Linked DNA regions of Bombyx mori. The protein of the gene in region 1 purifies or fractionates together with the protein of each later gene. This does not show direct contact. Links are inferred from orthologs where the notes say so. Each region holds a gene or a part of one and is shown in the gene's direction. Other genes may lie near its edges. The genes, in order: serine/arginine-rich splicing factor 1A and U2 small nuclear ribonucleoprotein auxiliary factor 2.

Region 1 (8,891 bases):
GAAAATCGAATGTTCGAATAGTAGTGTAATATATACCATCGTAAAATCTAGAGCCAGCACGTTAGGACAGTGGTTCCAGGGAGCAACCTAAAACGGTTTACTAATATCTGCTATGGCAAGAGCAGTGCTTCGCTGAATCATGAGGAATTGTTTATGCAGTGAAATGAAATGAAGTTGATCTATTTGAGACTGAACTCGATATAGATTTTAAACGAAATGAGATGAACTGGGATGAAATAATAGCTCCGTGAAATGGTACTTATTTACTCAAACCACAGTGAGCTTTCTTATATTACCTTTGTAAAAGCCAGGTTCAGCAGCTTTTTTTTTTAATTTTCTCTTACATATGCACTTGGACAGATGCTAAATGGTTAATAAGCCACCACTATTACACGATTAAACCTGAAGAAACACTAAATTACAAAACAAAATAGTTCCTGCCAAAAAGAGTGTCGAAATTTACAAACGCTTTTCATTGGTCTCATCGTATATAAATAGCTTTTAAGGCTTCGTTTCTATTGCCTTTCCAATGAATAAAATAAACTAGTATAAGTTGTTCGCATTTGCTTGTGTATATTGGTAAGCCGGCAGATTTCGGACGCGTGCTTGGACTTCCTCTACATGACTCCATATTAAGTATTCTTATCAATGCTAAGTATTCTTATTAATGCTAAGTATCCTCAACATTAAGCTTTTTTGTGATTGAAGGATTACTGGTGGCCCTGAGGCCTTTCTAGTGTGGCGGGTAGCCATCATACAACGCAAGATAATTGACAGATGCCTGAATCTCGCTTACGACATTTTCAAAATAAAGCGCATATATAAAAGTTCCAAACAACAACATTAGGACCGTCGGTCTACCGAGCAAATATCACCCGCTCGGTGGAAGATCTCCCCTTTGTCGTATATCTCTACAAACTGGTGACCTGCGACGAAACCATTGCAGCCTTCACACTTCATCATCAGCGCATCAAGAACTTCGGCTACCACAATTCTCGCAGATAAAAGCAAGTCATCGACAGTAGTCCCACAGCAAGCCAGCATCGCAGCCTCGATAGGACCATCGCAGCTGACTCACCGCGCTTCCTGCTCCTACGGCACGCACCTACACTGCCTCATCACGCAGCATTCAAGCTCAGTCTCGACTCACCGCAGACTACGAGCAGCACTAGCGACAATCACGCAGCAATTCAAGCTCAGCCTCGACTCACCGCAGGCTTCGAGCAGCACTGGCCCTTGCAAGCTAATCTCAGCATGGACAACGCTAACTAAAAATGACACGACCTCCAGTCTCGGAGGGGAGTGATGTGGCGGGTAGCCATCATACAACGCAAGATAATTGACAGATGTCTGAATCTCGCTTACGACATTTTCAAGTTAAAGCGCATATATACAAGTTCCGAACAACAGCATTCGGACCGTCGGTCTACCGAGCAATATCACCAGCTCGATGGAAGATCTTCCCTCGGTCGTTAAGCTTCCCCTACACTAATTTCACCAGGACAGTTAGGTGAGCAAAAGCGCAGCCAGGAGGGGTGGGATTACTTAACAGCTGCCCGAGCGCCTCCGAAGGAGACTTATCAACTCAAGAGTAGCTGCTTTGACAGCTGATCCGACGAGAAACTCAGCGGGCTGATACATAGATTAGGTTGCACGTCGAACTCTTTGTCGAGTTCTATGAGTACGGTTACCGGGGTCCCTGAGCCTGCTACTAGTGTTAGAGCTGAAGGCTTCTAATGCAAAGGTTATTGGATCTGATGGATCCGTAAGGACGTGTCTAGGGCATCAACGGTGACTGGCTCCTGCATGATTAGAATTCGAGGAGTAATCAACGGTGGCACCAATAAGGCGATTATCATGACGCATAGCCTTATTGTATTATTTATTTTATTTTATTTTATTTAATCCATTCAAGAAGATGACACCTTAAGCACAAGTTCAAGTACAAGTTCTCTAGTAAGTTCCTACCTGATTTTATATGGGAAAACCCATACTTTAATGTTACTAACATAACTCGAAACTGCCAATATTGATCAGCCTATATATTAATTTCCATTTAACAAAAGTGAAGGGCAGCGGGCTCGAAATTAGAAAGACCTATAAAACACGCTATAGGTACTGATTTCGACACAGAAACTTCCGGACAAGCAGGAAAGAATGATAAGTGTCCTGATCCTGATATCACCAAAAGCAAACTACATTTCAGATTAATTATTCAATTTTATGGTGTTTAGTTTTAAAATGTGCCGGACGACTACATACACATCTTTGTATAAATCCTTTCACACGGACTTTTGTAAAAATTATACAGCCACATATTTATAATCTATGACCAGGTTTTTCCACTTCCGTTTTCATGATTATCGTTTTCTTTTCTGTCAAATCCACCGTGATCCAAAATCGGAACATTGACATTTGACGCCATATTGCCCGACTTTCAATTACACACAGTAAAGCGTCGGATTGGTGAAATTAGTCGATGAAGCCAACATAATAATAAGTAAACGTTTAAGCAATAGTAATATTCTTTAGCTATAATGTCGGGTGGAAGCAGTAGCAACAGAAATGAGTGTCGTATATATGTTGGAAACTTACCACCGGACATAAGGACAAAGGATATTCAAGACTTGTTTTACAAGTTCGGAAAAGTAACGTTCGTTGACCTAAAGAACAGAAAAGGTCCGCCATTCGCGTTCGTGGAATTTGAGGATCCCAGGTGAGTGTTGAATTCGAAAAGAGAAACGGGCTATCTATATTACTAACGTTGTCCATGTCTGAGTAGCGATAATCATCCCGTGTCAGGTGGACGGAATGTTCAGCTGCCTTTGAAGAAGATTTAAAAGAGCGCATACGTTATGCCGCATACACCGCTATCTGTACCCGACTATAGCGAAATGAACAATTTTATTCAGCGTTAATATAATTTTCCACACCACAGATACAGATACAGATTAAGTAAACATTTTTACTGATAAATGAAAATGGGACTTTAAATTAACAATTAATCATTTATTATTTTATGATTAATTGACAACTAATTAGTTTAAAAGTTGGCACATATTAAAATATATGAAGGGTGGCACAGATTTAATAGTCTGCCAGAGCACCTGTATCCATAAATCTAATAATATTCACCTATGATTTCTAATTATTTCAGAAAAATTAAAATCAATAAAATTTGCTGATTATTGCCAATTATATAAAATTATAACACACATATAAACACACAACATATTAAATTAAAATTACACAATGAGTGATGTCAAAACTGTGTGTGATTGGTTCTTTTATTAGATATGTCCACTTCATGGTGAGTTGTTACTGTCACTAATGAACGTCAAGAATACCAGGTGCACAGCTCAGAGCCTGCCTTGTTTCACTCCTAGTAGAATATACAGTCATATCTACCTAAATTAATCTGAGACAAGTTATTTTAATAAAATCTATTTTGGAATTCAGAGATGCAGATGATGCAGTAAGAGCCAGGGATGGTTACGACTATGATGGGTACCGTCTTCGAGTCGAGTTCCCTCGTGGAGGTGGAGGTGGAGGCTCTCGTGGTTCTCGAGGCGGTGGTGACCGTTGGGGTGGACGAGGGGCAGCACGTGGTCCGCCCGCTCGACGCTCTGAATACCGCGTGCTCGTTACCGGCTTACCGCCCTCGGGTTCCTGGCAGGACCTCAAAGACCATATGCGAGAGGCCGGCGACGTATGCTTTGCAGACACCTTTAAAGATGGATCTGGTGTTGTGGAATTTTTGAGGCATGAAGATATGAAGTATGCTGTTAAAAAGTTAGATGATTCTAGATTTAGGAGTCATGAGGTTAGTTTCTTCCACTTTATTTGAAAATAATTATAAACATAACCTGTAATGTGAAAGAACAGTACTGTTGGTGGATTGTCCCAAATTTTTTATCATTGTTACCCAACGTGGACATAAAAGTTTCAAGATAATCAATTGTGTCAAATACTTTTATAGTTTAATTTGAATTAGTTAGAAGTTTAAGGCTCATGAAGGAGAAATTAAACCATGGGATAGTGCTTAAACTGTTCATTTACAAATAGCTGCTCAAAATCAACAACTGTTATTTTGTGTCAAACTCAGTAGATATCTATAATGTCCAAAATTGCATTCTGTAAAACTCAAGTAAATAAAGTAAGCAAAACAAACTTTTGAATTCTTTAGCTAGGTTGGACTAAGCTGTCTCCTTTTTCTGATTATTTGCAATACCAGTTTTTTTTTTTTTTTTTTTCAATGTTTTTTTCTGCCCATACTTGTTACCAATTTGTTTACTGAATTATAAAAAATGAGATTGTCCTTTCAACATACAGTTAAATATTTTTTTTAAAAAACAATTCACTTGTCAATTATGGTAAAGTAATTTCAGTTTGAGAAAAACTGATATGAGATTGAAAAGAACAAATGGAATGTAAAATGAGATGTGAGGCAACAAAACATCATCTCAGCTTAAGTAAACTGAGTTTGCTTTCATATTGATATTACAAAAGAAATTTGAACCATGGATCAAATTTGAACCATACTTTCTTAATCTTGATATTACAGACCTTATGGTCATAGATGATGAAGATTATAAAATGAATGAAAAGAAAGCTATATTACACTGTAAAAGCGTTTTACAATCAACTCAAGAAATTTAAAAAGCAAGCAGTGTCATGTAGTGCAAGATTTAGACGTCTATTAAATATTCATTTCCAGGGTGAGGTGACATATATACGTGTGAAGGAAGACTATGGCGGTGGCGGCGGTGGCGGTGGTGGCGGCGGCGGTGACAGGTACCACTACATACCATTACTACATTAACTGACTACTATATCATTTAATTGGCCAAATATATTGATTAAACTAGCTGACCCGGCAGACTTCGTAGTGCCTCAATCGATAAATAAAAGACCTAACTATTGTATAAAATAAACTTAAAACAAACAAAAGGAATCCGTCCAACGGGGGACACATCAAAGGAAAAACAAAATTTTATTTTACCTTTTAAACGTCTGGACTTCCACAAATAATTCAAGACCAAAATTAGCCAAATCGGTCCAACCGTTCTCGAGTTTTAGCGAGACTAACAAACAGCAATTCATTTTTATATATATCGATTTTGTTATCTCAGCCCACCTTTGGACATTAACAATTGTGTTGGATAACTTAGTACTATTAAAACTGTCTTTGCTAAGAAGATGTTAATTACTTCTAAGGCAGGGGTGGGCAAATACTTTAAAGCGCGGGCCAAAATGAAATTTTCAAAATGTCTCCCGGGCCGGAGGACTATACCGCATATGCTTTTTTACCGCATATGCTTTTTTAATGCTGATGTCAGCAAAATCTCATAAAAGAGTTTAAAAAAATTTATGTGCGGAATTTTTCAACGGGCCGGATAAAATTAGCAAAAGGGCCGGATCCGGCCCGCGGGCCGGCTTTTGCCCACCCCTGTTCTAAGGTGATATATTCTTCACAAGGTCTCGGTCATACTCCCCGCGGCGTCGTGGCACCCCAACCTACTCCCCGGTGCGACGCTCCTACTCGCGCTCGCGCTCACGCTCCCGTTCGCGGTCACATAACTACTGACTCCCACAAGGTACTGTACTCTTATGAGATTATATCTAATTAAACATTGCTGTTCACATTTGGTAGGTTCTCTATAATGTTCATACATTGTTAGAAACATGGATTATTTATCAGTGGATAAAACTACCATTCTATTAATAAAAACTTAATGGACTTGGATAAATTTAGTCTTATAGATAACTAGCGAAAGTAGGAATCATAATCTGGTCAGCATGGCCGTGCAGGGATACCCTAAGGATACAGATTTTCATAAAATGTAAACATTATAAAGATGAACATTAAGCACAATTAACATTTGATTACAATTAATGCACACCATATGTTTACCGACATTGTTGGTTTGTCAAAATCAATCGGTAAGTACAAATGTTTTCTATAATTTAGAGACATTGAAATTGAACATTTACCTAATAATTAAGTAGTTTTTTAAATCTACTGGACAGCAAATGTGAACTAAGCAACTGACTTTAATGATTATCAGAACTTCATTTTAAATAATAAGTGGTTCTATCATCTAATGATGTCATCAAGTTGAAATGATTGTTTTTATATTGTAGCTGTGTTCATAAAAACATACTGAATTTAAAAAAAAACGACATATTTTCACAGCCTATGACAGACAAGATCCCACTATAACAGATTTTAAAAATAATCCACTATGCCAATTACTCTAGGAACCCAAAATGGGAAATGGCGATATATACACAAAAGGAATCTCAAAACATAACTTTTATGCTAAAACTAAAATAAAAAACTAAAAAAAAAACAGAAAATAAATTTAGATCTAACAATTTTGTTGAGTTCTCTAGTACTAATTTCACTTCTAATGTAATTTTATCTACTAACGTCACACTATCTATTATGTGCGAATTCTCCAGACCGTTTCAGTGCATCAAAAGTAGTATAACTACGACAAACTGTTCAAGACAATAATGTACTGTTATAAATAAAAGATAGATAATGATATTAAAAATAGATTTTGTTGTGTATTAGTGAGGGTACTTTTCTCTTTAAAAGGATTGCTAAGTGCGGGTTGTATAAAGACAGACACACAGTGAACTGACTTGTTACCCAACATATGTGCATAATAAATTACTGGTGTTCATAATAAAATAATAAAACATAATAAATTTAAAATTTAAAAAAATGAAGAAGATGAACAATTCTGTGTGTTTGTGTGCAGCCGTAGAGGTCAGTGACACGCGCCGAGAGGTCATCGCCCCCGGTGCCGCCGCGACTCCCAGCTGTTTGTAGTTCATAAGCCCTCCCACTTGTATACAAACAAACATTCACGTTCAAATGCAAAAATTACATGTTAGCTCTCACTGTATCTTTGGAGACTGTTTTGAGATGAATTTCGTCGGTACTGCTTTTCATACTGTAATGTCCTACAAATTGTGCAATGATTATTAAATTGGGAATTGATAACTAACTGTAGGGTATGAGCTAATATTACGCGAGTTCACTTGTACAGTGAGGCTACAAACCTTAGGACCATGTTTTTGTTCAAACAAGACTTGAGACATAATATTTTTTAATTTATTTATGAAAATGTAAAGTATAATAGATTCAGATGCATAGGGATGAAATGAATTTTAAGTAATGAAAATGTAATACTCATGCTAAATTGGATATGGACAAAATTAAAGGGATACTTCAATTTTCCAAAGTTGTAAGCAATTTTATATTTGACCAACAGTTAGTTGTGTATTTGTATCGTCTTTAATTCACACAAAGGTGTTTGTTCTGTTTAAATCCAAAAACCTCCAATTTTTTGTTTTGTTAGACAATTTTGAATCTTTATTTATAATTTGCTTTTGTTTTTTTAAAATCTCAAAACAAGTTTTATCCAAAGCATTCTCTAAATTCTACTAATTGGATGATGAGTTAACAATACAATTTTTTTATAAAAAATGTGTCAATAATCAGAATATTGACATTGACGATTTTGAAACTTCACAGTAGAAACTCATGACTTGTTTAAAAATATATTTCACAAAGACTATTGTTTAGGAATTTTTGCTTTTGAACGTGCCTTTCAATACTTTGTTTCGTTGACTGTTTTAATTTTAAAAATTTATTTTATGAATTGGTGATGGTCTCAAAATTGTAATGTATTAGATATTAGAGCAAACACCCGCGAGTTTGCGACTGAACCACTCTGATGGAAACCATTATACATTTTCAATATAATCTTTCACGATTCCATCCATATATTAATATCTCTTTTAAATATTTCATTGTAAAGGTGATTTTTTATTAAAATTGTAAAATAAAAAAAAATAGTCCACGAGGCACAGCGTTGTTGACACTGACACCGTAGTAATGTATAATAAGACAGAAGGTTTGACATGTATAATTAAAGTAATTTTCTTTTGTTTCATCGACTTTGGATCGTTGGATGTGCTTGGATGGGATCGTTGGAGGTGTGAGTCAGGATCGGAACACGGATGTTAGTGTCGCGGGCTGTAGGACACGACCGGGGGCCTGTGTGTCGCACTGGACGGATCAGGACCGCTGGACGCGCCGGGTATGACGTTATGATTCCTTGCCAAAATAAGTTATGTTGAGTGCACGCGAACGTACCGACCTACATGATGTTTGAATCCTTCACTCACTTTATTTGCTTTCACCTCGACGCCCCGTCGGCGGCGGCGGACCCTCTGACACACGCTTCTGTGCTGCGGACGTGAGAGAGTTGGACGCCTGGGAGGTCGGAATGATTGATACGGCAACGGAATTGTGTAATAATGCCTTTGTCTGGTCTTACATATATATAGGTTTAATGATTATTTTGGTTTATAATGTAATTTAGTTATTGGATCTGCATTCCAAAGACCAACCACAGTTTGATGGACTTAATAAATCACTGGAAATTAATTGGAGTTTTATTGTACCTGCACTGCACAGGCGTAGGCCTACCTGATGGTGCCATTGTCGCTCAGCAGGCGCTAGGCAGGTGAGCGTCTGGCCCACCTGACGATAAGTGTCATTGTCGTCTATAGGTGTCGGTAATGCCAGGACCTGTCAAACCGCTGCCTACCGCTGTGTCTCCACAAACCTCGTTTGAAGAAGTACCAGAACCCAGCGCCCAAGAAAAACCGTAGAGGGGAGCTCATTCCAGAACCGGATGGTGCGTGGCAGGATAGACCTCTGGAGACGCACTGTCGAACGCAGCCGTTCCAGGTGGTATGGATGAACTCTGCTCCGATGGTGGGGAGTGCGGGGCAACGTGGTGGTATCCCGGATAAAGATGTTATTCGCGTGGCTACTCCTCTACCCGGGATACAGGCTCGTTCTGTTC
Region 2 (10,298 bases), on another chromosome or scaffold:
CAACAATTTTCGTTACATTCAATTGTTACACACAGTTGATGCATTATTAGATTTACAACGTCACTGACCTGGTGGGATAACGAGCCGATTCGAAGATCGACCGTTACCTTTGAATCCCGTCGTTTCTTACGCAGAGACTCCTTTTGTTCTTTTTCGCTTGACGAGCTGTTCGAACGCGAGGCGTCTCCATCGCGTCTCGCCTGGACATCTTCCCTCTCGGAAATTATGGAGCTTGACTCAACATCACCTCCAACAGATGACGCGTGATTCATGGCGTCCGATGATAGGATTGGTAAATAATACTCGTAATGATTGCAAAATAACACTCATAGAAACACAAAATAAATATTTTTTGCAATTAATAAGAAGTCGAATAAATATTTGTGGACTTGCGACTTCACAGTACGAAAGTACACAACGCTATGAAGATCAAAGATGGCTGCGCTCCCTTTATACTTGCTGGCAGCACCTAGCGGCTAAAGATGGAACTAAATTGACTGTCTATGGTTGGACATAGACAAGGAATCTAAGCTAAGTACACACTGCTTCTTCATAATACAATGCTGTATGTTTTCCAAAGGCACATCAATGATTAATTAGCTATCATTATTACACATTTATACTTGAGGAAACACCAGTTCTGCGTTCGCGTCCGAAATTTGTCCTAGGGCAAGCATAGGATTTTAGTGATGATTACGTATCAGGAAATTCACTATAGCATCATTAGCCAAAAGTCGAGTAACCAACGTCCGTATAAAAAAATAACAGACGCCATTTCACGGAAACTGACTTAGATTTTATGTTGATGCCAACGCTAATTATACTAATAACGCTGAAGCGCCTTTATTACTATCTCAAGAAATAGTTACTGTATTACATATTTCCGTAAATAAGATGGGGGAAGATAAAGGTAAGTAGTTCACATATCTATCTTGTAAAGTTTTGAAGTGAGGTTATAAAATAAAATGCTCACAAATATTACAGACCGCCGACGAAGGTCTCGATCCCGAGAAAGAAAACGTTCTAGATCTCGATCTAGAGAACGAAGAGAAAAAAGAAAAAGCAGATCAAGATCGCCCAATAAACGTTCACGTAGACGTAAGCCTTCGCTTTACTGGGATGTACCGCCGCCGGGATTCGAGCATATCACGCCATTACAATACAAGGCGATGCAAGCGGCGGGTCAGATTCCTGCCAATATTGTCGCCGACACACCACAAGCTGCCGTGCCGGTGGTGGGTTCGACTATAACACGTCAAGCGCGAAGGTTATATGTCGGCAACATACCCTTTGGCGTCACCGAAGAAGAAACAATGGAGTTTTTCAATCAACAAATGCATCTATCGGGCCTGGCCCAGGCCGCCGGCAACCCTGTTTTGGCTTGCCAGATTAATTTAGATAAAAATTTTGCATTCCTTGAATTCAGATCAATTGATGAAACGACACAGGCAATGGCTTTTGACGGTATTAATTTTAAAGGGCAAAGCTTAAAGATTCGACGTCCACATGACTACCAGCCTATGCCAGGCACTGAAAACCCAGCAATAAATGTGCCTGGTAAGTAATTATGATATTGTGATATTGTTATTACAAACAACTTTTCTTATAAAAATACATTTAAACTACATTAGAAGATACTATAGATTTATCTATCAAGTAATGAGTCTTGAACTCGATTGAAAGTGCTATTTTTTATTAAGAAAATGCAATATTTAAAATAAACTGAATTTTGTTGTTATAATTCTACAGCTCTTTTTAAACTCTTGAAACAGCATTAATTACAACTAAAATACTCATTACTAGTGTCTTCATTCAAATATTATTTTGTTACAGCTGGTGTTATTAGCACTGTTGTACCTGATTCCCCACACAAGATCTTTATAGGGGGATTGCCTAATTATCTAAATGAGGACCAAGTAAGTTCCTTGTTTTATCTATTAAAATTTATAGTTGAAATTAAGCATTCAAGAAACCATAATTTAATCACATCATGATCAAAATCAAGTTTGGAGTTTTTTAAAGCTACACATGGTTTTTGGATTAAAGTAGAGGTACTTATTTTCTGTATTTTTGATGTGATCAAATTAAGCTATTATTTATAAGTACTACTTACCAAAAAGTTTTTATTTTTAAACCAAATGAAAACTCAATTCACATAAATTATGGTTGATTTATGTTTCCCACTAAAAGAAACCTTTTGATAATAAAAAAATGGTTATATTATACAACATTCTTCTCTCATTGTGATTTGTAGAGTTGTGTGTTACAGGTTTTGACCAGACAAAATGGAAATAATAATTATGTTGGTTATGATAAACATAGAATTCTCTTAGATCGACAAATTCAAGTATTTTGGACTATAATAGTTATTTCAAAATCCTACTTTAGGTAATGTTAGGACATTAAAAGAACCATGAGTTTGTTCGTTCCCAGTAGGTAGTTATAGCGTACTAGATGCCGCAACAATTTCAGGCCGAGATTCAACAGTTGACAGGACTTAGGCCCCGGTGACGCCAGCAGTGAGCCGCGTTATGTTTTGGTCCGTTTCAGGTATTTTCAGGTACCCGTAGCGTGGACGAGCGTGTGCGTACCACGCTCGGATGTTCTCAAACAACTCACTGATATAGTTTGCTTTCTGCCCTCCCTAGCTTAGATTTGGCACATTCGCGGCCCGCGTGTCACTGTTGTCTCTCATTCTCATCTATACGTCTTGTACTTGAACGAGACATCGGCACTTCAAGGCAAGTCTCTTCCATTCACATCTGATTCTAACATGCGGCTAGACACAGGTCAGATAGCATAATTCACTTATGTAATTTGCTGCATTTTGATGAACAGATTTAATGGGAACACAACAATTCAAACATACAATACAAAAAACATTAGCATTAGAAATGTCTATGCTGATCATTATGAATATGTAACGTAAATTAATACAATGCTGGGAATTAAAAGATTATTATTTGCTCACTAATTTTGTCATGAAACAGGTAAAGGAATTACTCATGTCATTTGGTCAACTCCGGGCCTTCAATTTGGTGAAAGACTCTTCAACTGGGTTGAGCAAAGGCTATGCTTTTGCTGAATATGTCGACATTTCTATGACAGATCAGGTAAATAATCATTATGTCACCCAATTTATTAATTTATTGGCTTTTGCATAGTTAAGGCCAATTTAATTTTTAAAAAAACTTTAAATCATAAATTAATTTTATTTTCACAGGCTATTGCAGGTTTAAATGGAATGCAACTTGGAGATAAAAAGTTGATTGTGCAACGTGCCAGTATAGGCGCAAAGAATTCAACTTTAGGTAAATTTTAATACAGAATATGACCTATGTTTTAGTTTTAGAATAGAAATTATAAAAGATTTTAAATAGAAATGGGATACTTTTCAGCACTGACCGGTGCAGCTCCAGTGCAAATCCAAGTGGCAGGTTTGACCTTGGCTGGAGCAGGTCCACCTACTGAAGTATTGTGCCTTCTTAACATGGTAACACCTGATGAATTGCGTGATGAAGAGGAGTATGAAGATATCCTTGAAGATATAAAGTAAGTAACATTTTGTACATGTCACACACACAAGCACTAATACATGAAATGCACACTTAAACTTCATCTAAAAATGTTCAAAATCAGAACAAGAATATAAAATTAAATCTTCATATTGGTACCTCAGTTCCAATAAGTAAAGTAACAATTCAGATTTCATATTAGTTTTAGCAGTGTATAAAGCATTTCGTTTTTCATAACACATTATTCTTCATAATGTAATAAAAATAAATAAATAAAATAGAAATAAGAATAACTTCCTGATAAACTATTCACATTTATTTAAGCTTTTTTTTAATTGTTACTGCATGGAACATAAGTACAAGTCATATAAATGAAACAACAAAAATGATTTCTTTCATAGACTTCTTTCTTTTTGAAAATTATAGTTTACAATTTTAATGGAACTCTTTTTTATACTCAATCAATTTTTTTTTAATAAAAAAAACCTTTACCTGTGTACCTTAACAAAAATTCGCGAAGAAATAACATTGAGTAATAAAATCAAACCTGCAAAAATCCCAATTTGTGTGATTACCTGCCTAGGTAGGTCCCACAATACTGTCCATTTCTGCCGTGAAGTAGTAATGCGTTTCGACTTAAAGAATAGGGCAGCCATTGTACTGTAAAAACTGAGACTTAAAACTCATGTCTCAATGGGTGTGGCGGCGTTAACGTTGTTGTTGTCTATGGGCTCCGGTATCCACCTAACGTCAGGTGGGCCGTGGGCTCGTCCACCCATCAAATCAATAACAAAAAAAGAATTAGTAATGTAATTATTACTGTACATTCCTAGCTATAAAAAATGAATATGAGACTCACTAAAAATATGGTATTTCAGGGAGGAATGCAACAAATATGGTGTTGTGCGTAGTATAGAAATTCCAAGACCAATTGAAGGAGTCGAAGTACCTGGATGCGGCAAGGTAAATATTTATATTTAAAATTAATGGTTTGGAAATCATAATTGAGTATGTCTTACTGCTTCTATGTACTTTTAGGTCAAAATAAATTAGTTGTACAAATTGATATAACAAGCTCATCAAAATATTCTCATATTTTTAAACTGAGATAAATAATAAAAATAAAATTATACGAAATAATCGAGTCTATAAATGTAGCTATAAGAAATAATATGAGATGATTTCTACAAAACTCAAATATCATATTATCATAAACATGCCACACTTTAAATTTCTGTCGTGAAGTTTTCATTTAGGAATTAGTAGGAAAGTCGTTAAGTACATACACTAAACAATTGAATGTTATAGATACCTCATATCTCAAGGTAGGTGGTGACATTCACATTGTAATAAACCAACATAAGAGAGGTCCATATATACGACTATGGAATTTATTACTGGTGGTAGGACCTGTTGTGAGTCCGCACGGGTAGGTACCACCACCCCGCCTATTTCTGCCGTGAAGCAGTAATGCGTTTCGGTTTGAAGGGTGGGGCAGCCGTCGTAACTATACTGAGACCTCACAACTTATATCTCAAGGTGGGTGGCGCAATTATTTTGTAGATGTCTATGGGCTCCAGTAACCACTTAACACCAGGTGGGCTGTGAGCTCGTCCAACCATCAAAGCAATAAATAAATAAAAAGACTGGAATAAACGAATAAAATCCACATTTTTTTTGTTAAAAAACGTTTTTTTTATCAGGTATTTGTCGAGTTCAACAGTATTGCAGATTGCCAGAAAGCGCAGCAGACGCTCACAGGACGCAAGTTCAGTAACAGAGTCGTCGTCACATCCTACTTCGATCCTGACAAATATCATCGCAGAGAGTTTTAAAGATATATTTTTTTTACCGTCACTTCAACTTCGTCCTGTTGCACTAGCGTGTAAGAAAATGTTCAACATTGTTTTTGAAAGAAGTTTAATTTTCATTAGTTTACATTAAAAACATATAAGAACAAATTAAATTTAAAAATAAATGCTTGTAACGATTCATTGTAAAAGTGAGTTCTTAACTACCAAATGAACAGATTTAATTGTGATCTACTCAATTACGACTGATAATTAATTTTACAAGTTCTATAAATTGAAAATGTCACGTTTTGTTGAAAATAAAAGTTTTTTTTTTTTCACAAGACCTATACATGACACATGCTAGTAGCACATTCAACAAACGACAGAGATTAAATCTATCAAAATGCATGTGAATTGGAGCATCATGCTTTTCGTCACCAATTCACTACAACTGACATGTTAAGTATTAACTAAAAAGTATATTGCGCGTTTGTAACTGCTATGAATAAATAAATTTATCTCGAATCATGTGTTTTTATTAAAAAGTTTCAAATTCGAATCGTTTTAACGTAGGTACATTATAAAAAAAAAAACTGTAGTTTTATACTTCTTGCTGCATAGCAGGTTGGTAAGTATTCAGTGAACCCGTTTCCGAAGATAGAACGAGTTTCCTCATAACTACATATAAGACGCCACCGATGATCAACATTCCAATTCCAGCCATCAAGCTAATTGCCCACGCGGGAACCGCATTGCCACCTGTAATAAAATAAAATGAATTTTGAGCACGCAAGTTGATTGATTATTTTAATCAACCTACACAACACGCGATCTCTATAAAAATAAAATAAATTAAAATATAAGAAATTTGTGAATTTATTTTCATGTTAGCGCCCTATAGTTTGATACGAAGTCAAGACGAAAATGTTTTGTGACTACTACTGACCAATCGAAATTAATATGTGAATGGCAAATGTTATCATCTCATACATTTTGACCTAGAAATGACTAGCAGATGAGAAAGGATGTTCTATAGTGGATCGCAAGATGAACTTACTTGATATAAGTTGACCCATGTTTTGAATAAAACGCATAGTATGTTTTGTTGGTTTCTTTGTATAGCAAAAAGAAGCCATCTAGTTAACTTTTCGCTAGTCGTGTTCCTTATTTGCTCAAGACACTGACAAAGTGAAAAGCGCCTGGTGCTTTGCACTTTTTGAGTTCATCAAACGCAGCTCACACTTCGGTCTTCGGAGCGCAAACTCCCCGGGTATTCAAAACAGCATTTGTATTTGTATTTTTCGCAATAGCTACGCTATCTTTCAGCGACCTCTATAACTGATTAGGTGTATACCATCGGCATCATCGATTGCCCAGTTTTTTGGCTTGATAATTACTGAAGATAAGACTTTCTATTCGTCTCGATAGGCACGAGCTAACCGGATCACCTCCTCAGATCAGTTACTGAGTGGTGACTTGATATTGCCTTAAGATATGAGGTTGAAATTTATTGTAGAACGACTGTTCCGTCAAAACCGGACTGATATAATTGCCTCTCGGAAATAATAGCTAGGTACCTCATAACTAGGTAGGTACCTTAGTAGCACTTACCGTGCAGGTTCGCAGAAACGTCCTACTATCAGAAGATACGGTAACTTACGGAATTTAACGAATTTATCTGATTTCCGGCAAGGATATTGAAGATAAACTTACGGTAGTAAGTGCGGGTCATAACACGTCTTCCTCTAAGAATTTTTCTTCTGGCTTCTACCTCTTGTGTAAGTGTACTCAAAATAACTAAAAATAATAAAAAATAATTTATTATTGCACATATTGGCAAGGCAAACATACCCTTTTGTTAAATTCTTAACTTTTGTTTTTTTCCGCTAAAACTATTAATAATAAAATTCGCCAATACACTCGCGACCAAAATGCCCCGGTCATCATTCTCATCGAACCCGTCGCTTGCGACGAAGGGCTCGGCGAGTAAATTAACCCACTGAGTTTCTCGCCGGATCTTCTTAGTGGGTCGCGTTTCCGATCTAGTGGTAGATTCTGCGAAGCACAGCTCTTGCTAGGGTTTGTATTAGCAACATCGTCCGGTTCGAGCCCCGTGAGCTCACCTACTAGTTCAGGCTACGCTGATATGGTCTCTCTAAACCATCAGCTTAGGTAGGAGAAAAAAATAGAAAACCAAAATGGTCACCTACAAGTTTCCGTTTTTCTTGAATCATCTAGGTACCTACTTAATTTCAAGTGTGTGATGTTCACGATTAGCCGTTATTTGTAAAGTACCCCGTACCTTTAATGTCATTCATTCAGACTGACGATTAAATTAAAATCAATGCGCTTTATCAGACTGATAGTCATAACCCCCAACAAACTAAAGGTTGGTACATTTCTTCTTCCCAAACATATCTATCTATCTATGTGTGTCTATACGTAAATTATCAAACTACTTAAGTACATTACCTTCATAAGTCTTGATTTTAGTACCTACCTTTTTCCTTATCTATTAAGTAGGTTACTGGCAGTATAAACAACACAGTACCTACTTGATACGTGTATATTATAGTGATGCAAAAGTAACATTTGCTATTACTCTTTTAAGTCACCTGGCGTCAAAGCTAAGATATTTAATTGGGTGTTGAGTACACATATAACATTAGGGAAAGAGCTCCTTTCAAACTCTTAAAAGTTAAAAAATACAATGCAGTAATGTTCCCTCCGCAACACATTTCACTTTAGGTCCTTAACTACAACAAATTTTACTCTAGATACGTACCTAAAATCACAGCGAAGTAAAACAAAACAGATTTCTTCTGTGCCATTTTATTGATTTTTTTTCTTTCACAAATACTCAATAGAGAAACACAATCACTAACAACACCTATGATAAACTAATACAGAAAAACATGTACATTTTTAGCGTTGAGCTATTATCTCTTTAGATAAGATAACTTGGTTACTCACATTTGTGAGATAAAACGAAGCTTTCTGAAATCCTGTGTGACTCAATTATTCTGTATATTCATTGATAGAATACTACAGTGATAAAATAAATATAATAAAACCTTTAAAATGATCGTATTTGATACATGAATCCAAAAAACTTTTACTTGTCCATACTGTTAGATTTAGACCTAGGTATACTTACTAAAATAGCAAAGAAAATCAAAAGTGAACAATACGTAAAGAATTCGTCATAGCCGCCCGATTAACTTATTCGTATCAAACGATACCACCATACCGGTGTTCAAATCCCACAGGCAAATGTTAATTTATCTAAGGAAATACATAGCACGTGTTCAAGAACGACTACAACGATGAAGGAATAATATTGTGCAATAAAAAACAACCCAACAAAAAATTCAGTTTGCGTAGCAACTGGTAGTAAGGTGTCTCGTGTCCCGTTCGGGTAGGTTCCACCGCCCTACTTATTTTTACCGAAGCAGTAATGCGTTCGGGTTTGAAAGGTAGGTCTAGTCTATAGTCGGTATGCCGTCATATAACTTATAATTGAGACTTCTTCTTTATATTACAGGATGGATTCATTTGATTGATATCTATGGGTGTCGAGAACTAATTATCACTAGTTGAGCCGTGAACTCATTTTCCCATCTATAAAAATAAACTGATAAAGAAACAAATAACAAGTGCCTCTTTACTGAGCCCCTTACGTTAGTACAAATTGAACAAGGCTAATAAGAGATCGCTCGACAGATCACAATTATTATGACTAAATAAACTTAAATCTGACTTCATTAAATCGATGGTCTCTATATCGAGTTCTCCGAATACTTTTGTTTAAATGGGTAGACAGGACGCGCCTTTTTGGTTGCGTATTTTTTTTACCCATGTATGCAGATGAACACGCAGTCCACCAGATAGATATTCTGATGGTGAAACAGTCAAGCCGCTGCTTACCACTAAAACGAATTAGAATATATAGATGGATCATCCGCTACATGTTGGGGCTGTGGTATGGTTGAACCTATTAAATAATCCTTGTGTCGCTTTTCTACCTGAGCATCCGATTCATATACAGAGATACAATTGTGATAGCTCACGTAAATTGCTTAACCGCACCACGGAACGCCAGATCAACAGTCGCCGGTGATATGATCAGCAACTCTCACAATAAACTGCCCAGCTCTGCCTCTAGGCAATCTAGTTAATGGCGCCATAACTCATACCCTCGGGTTGCCCAGGTGTGTATCGGTAGTGTATGCCGGGTCGAGGAGCGTAGCTTTCATCCGATCGCTCTTTGTCAAAATGTCAATGTGGCCAACGGTTACCTTTGTGTTCATAGACCCTATTGTCGTTCTACAAACCAACATCAAAGAGGCCCGAAATGCTTACGGTGACTGGAGCCAAAATACATTAAAGTATATCTAGTAATACAGTTGATAATTTGTGAGATGGCGGCGACATCAAGCCTTTCAGTACCGGTTACATATTTATAATAGCCGGCAAACTTCTTGAGTATTTGTTGACGTAGTGGGGGTAAGTTTGCGCATGGTACACTCACGTGCAAAAACATTATTTACTCTGCGTCATAATGCAATTAAATTATTAAAATCAACATATGTATTTATTTATATATTTATTAGAACATCAACAAAAAATATAGGTTAATAATTGTAATAATTTAATCTTGGGGTAAAATAGATATTCCTTCTATTAAGTCAAAACTAGAGCTGTTGCCAGGTCTTCGTTCAGTTGAAGCGAAGCTGGTATTTGTAATTTTTTTTTCGTTATCATAATCTTGACTATTATCATCATCACTGTTTTCATCACCCGAGTCGCCATCATCGTGATAAGTCGACATAGGGCTCATCGGTGTAGTTTACGACTCGGTCGGTTCGATCTTATTTTTTGTCTATAATTAATTATTTTTTGAAGATATTCGATTCGTAGTAATCGAATGTTACTTTTTTCAATTACCAGCTTCCGATTATTTTCTGTTTTTTTTTTTCCATCTGAAGCC

Evidence for each region.
Region 2: the proteins of serine/arginine-rich splicing factor 1A (region 1) and U2 small nuclear ribonucleoprotein auxiliary factor 2 purify together in Homo sapiens (affinity purification with mass spectrometry; 4 studies listed by BioGRID and IntAct, counting the BioPlex papers as one, with this or other methods). This does not show direct contact. The link is inferred for Bombyx mori from reciprocal best matches to the Homo sapiens genes SRSF1 and U2AF2.

Annotation. Positions count from the first base shown.
Region 1 is NC_085122.1:426,128-435,018, reverse strand, and holds serine/arginine-rich splicing factor 1A, read left to right. Parts: upstream 1-2,318; 5' UTR 2,319-2,537; coding exon 2,538-2,716; intron 2,717-3,459; coding exon 3,460-3,823; intron 3,824-4,717; coding exon 4,718-4,794; intron 4,795-5,478; coding exon 5,479-5,587; 3' UTR 5,588-5,597; intron 5,598-6,770; 3' UTR 6,771-8,467; downstream 8,468-8,891. UniProt on the Homo sapiens protein: Plays a role in preventing exon skipping, ensuring the accuracy of splicing and regulating alternative splicing.
Region 2 is NC_085123.1:10,728,202-10,738,499, forward strand, and holds U2 small nuclear ribonucleoprotein auxiliary factor 2, read left to right. Parts: upstream 1-769; 5' UTR 770-894; coding exon 895-910; intron 911-984; coding exon 985-1,557; intron 1,558-1,833; coding exon 1,834-1,916; intron 1,917-2,990; coding exon 2,991-3,113; intron 3,114-3,223; coding exon 3,224-3,311; intron 3,312-3,398; coding exon 3,399-3,552; intron 3,553-4,393; coding exon 4,394-4,478; intron 4,479-5,218; coding exon 5,219-5,350; 3' UTR 5,351-6,065; exon of another isoform or gene 6,066-6,067; intron 6,068-7,019; 3' UTR 7,020-7,111; intron 7,112-8,093; exon of another isoform or gene 8,094-8,099; 3' UTR 8,100-8,244; downstream 8,245-10,298. UniProt on the Homo sapiens protein: Plays a role in pre-mRNA splicing and 3'-end processing. By recruiting PRPF19 and the PRP19C/Prp19 complex/NTC/Nineteen complex to the RNA polymerase II C-terminal domain (CTD), and thereby pre-mRNA, may couple transcription to splicing.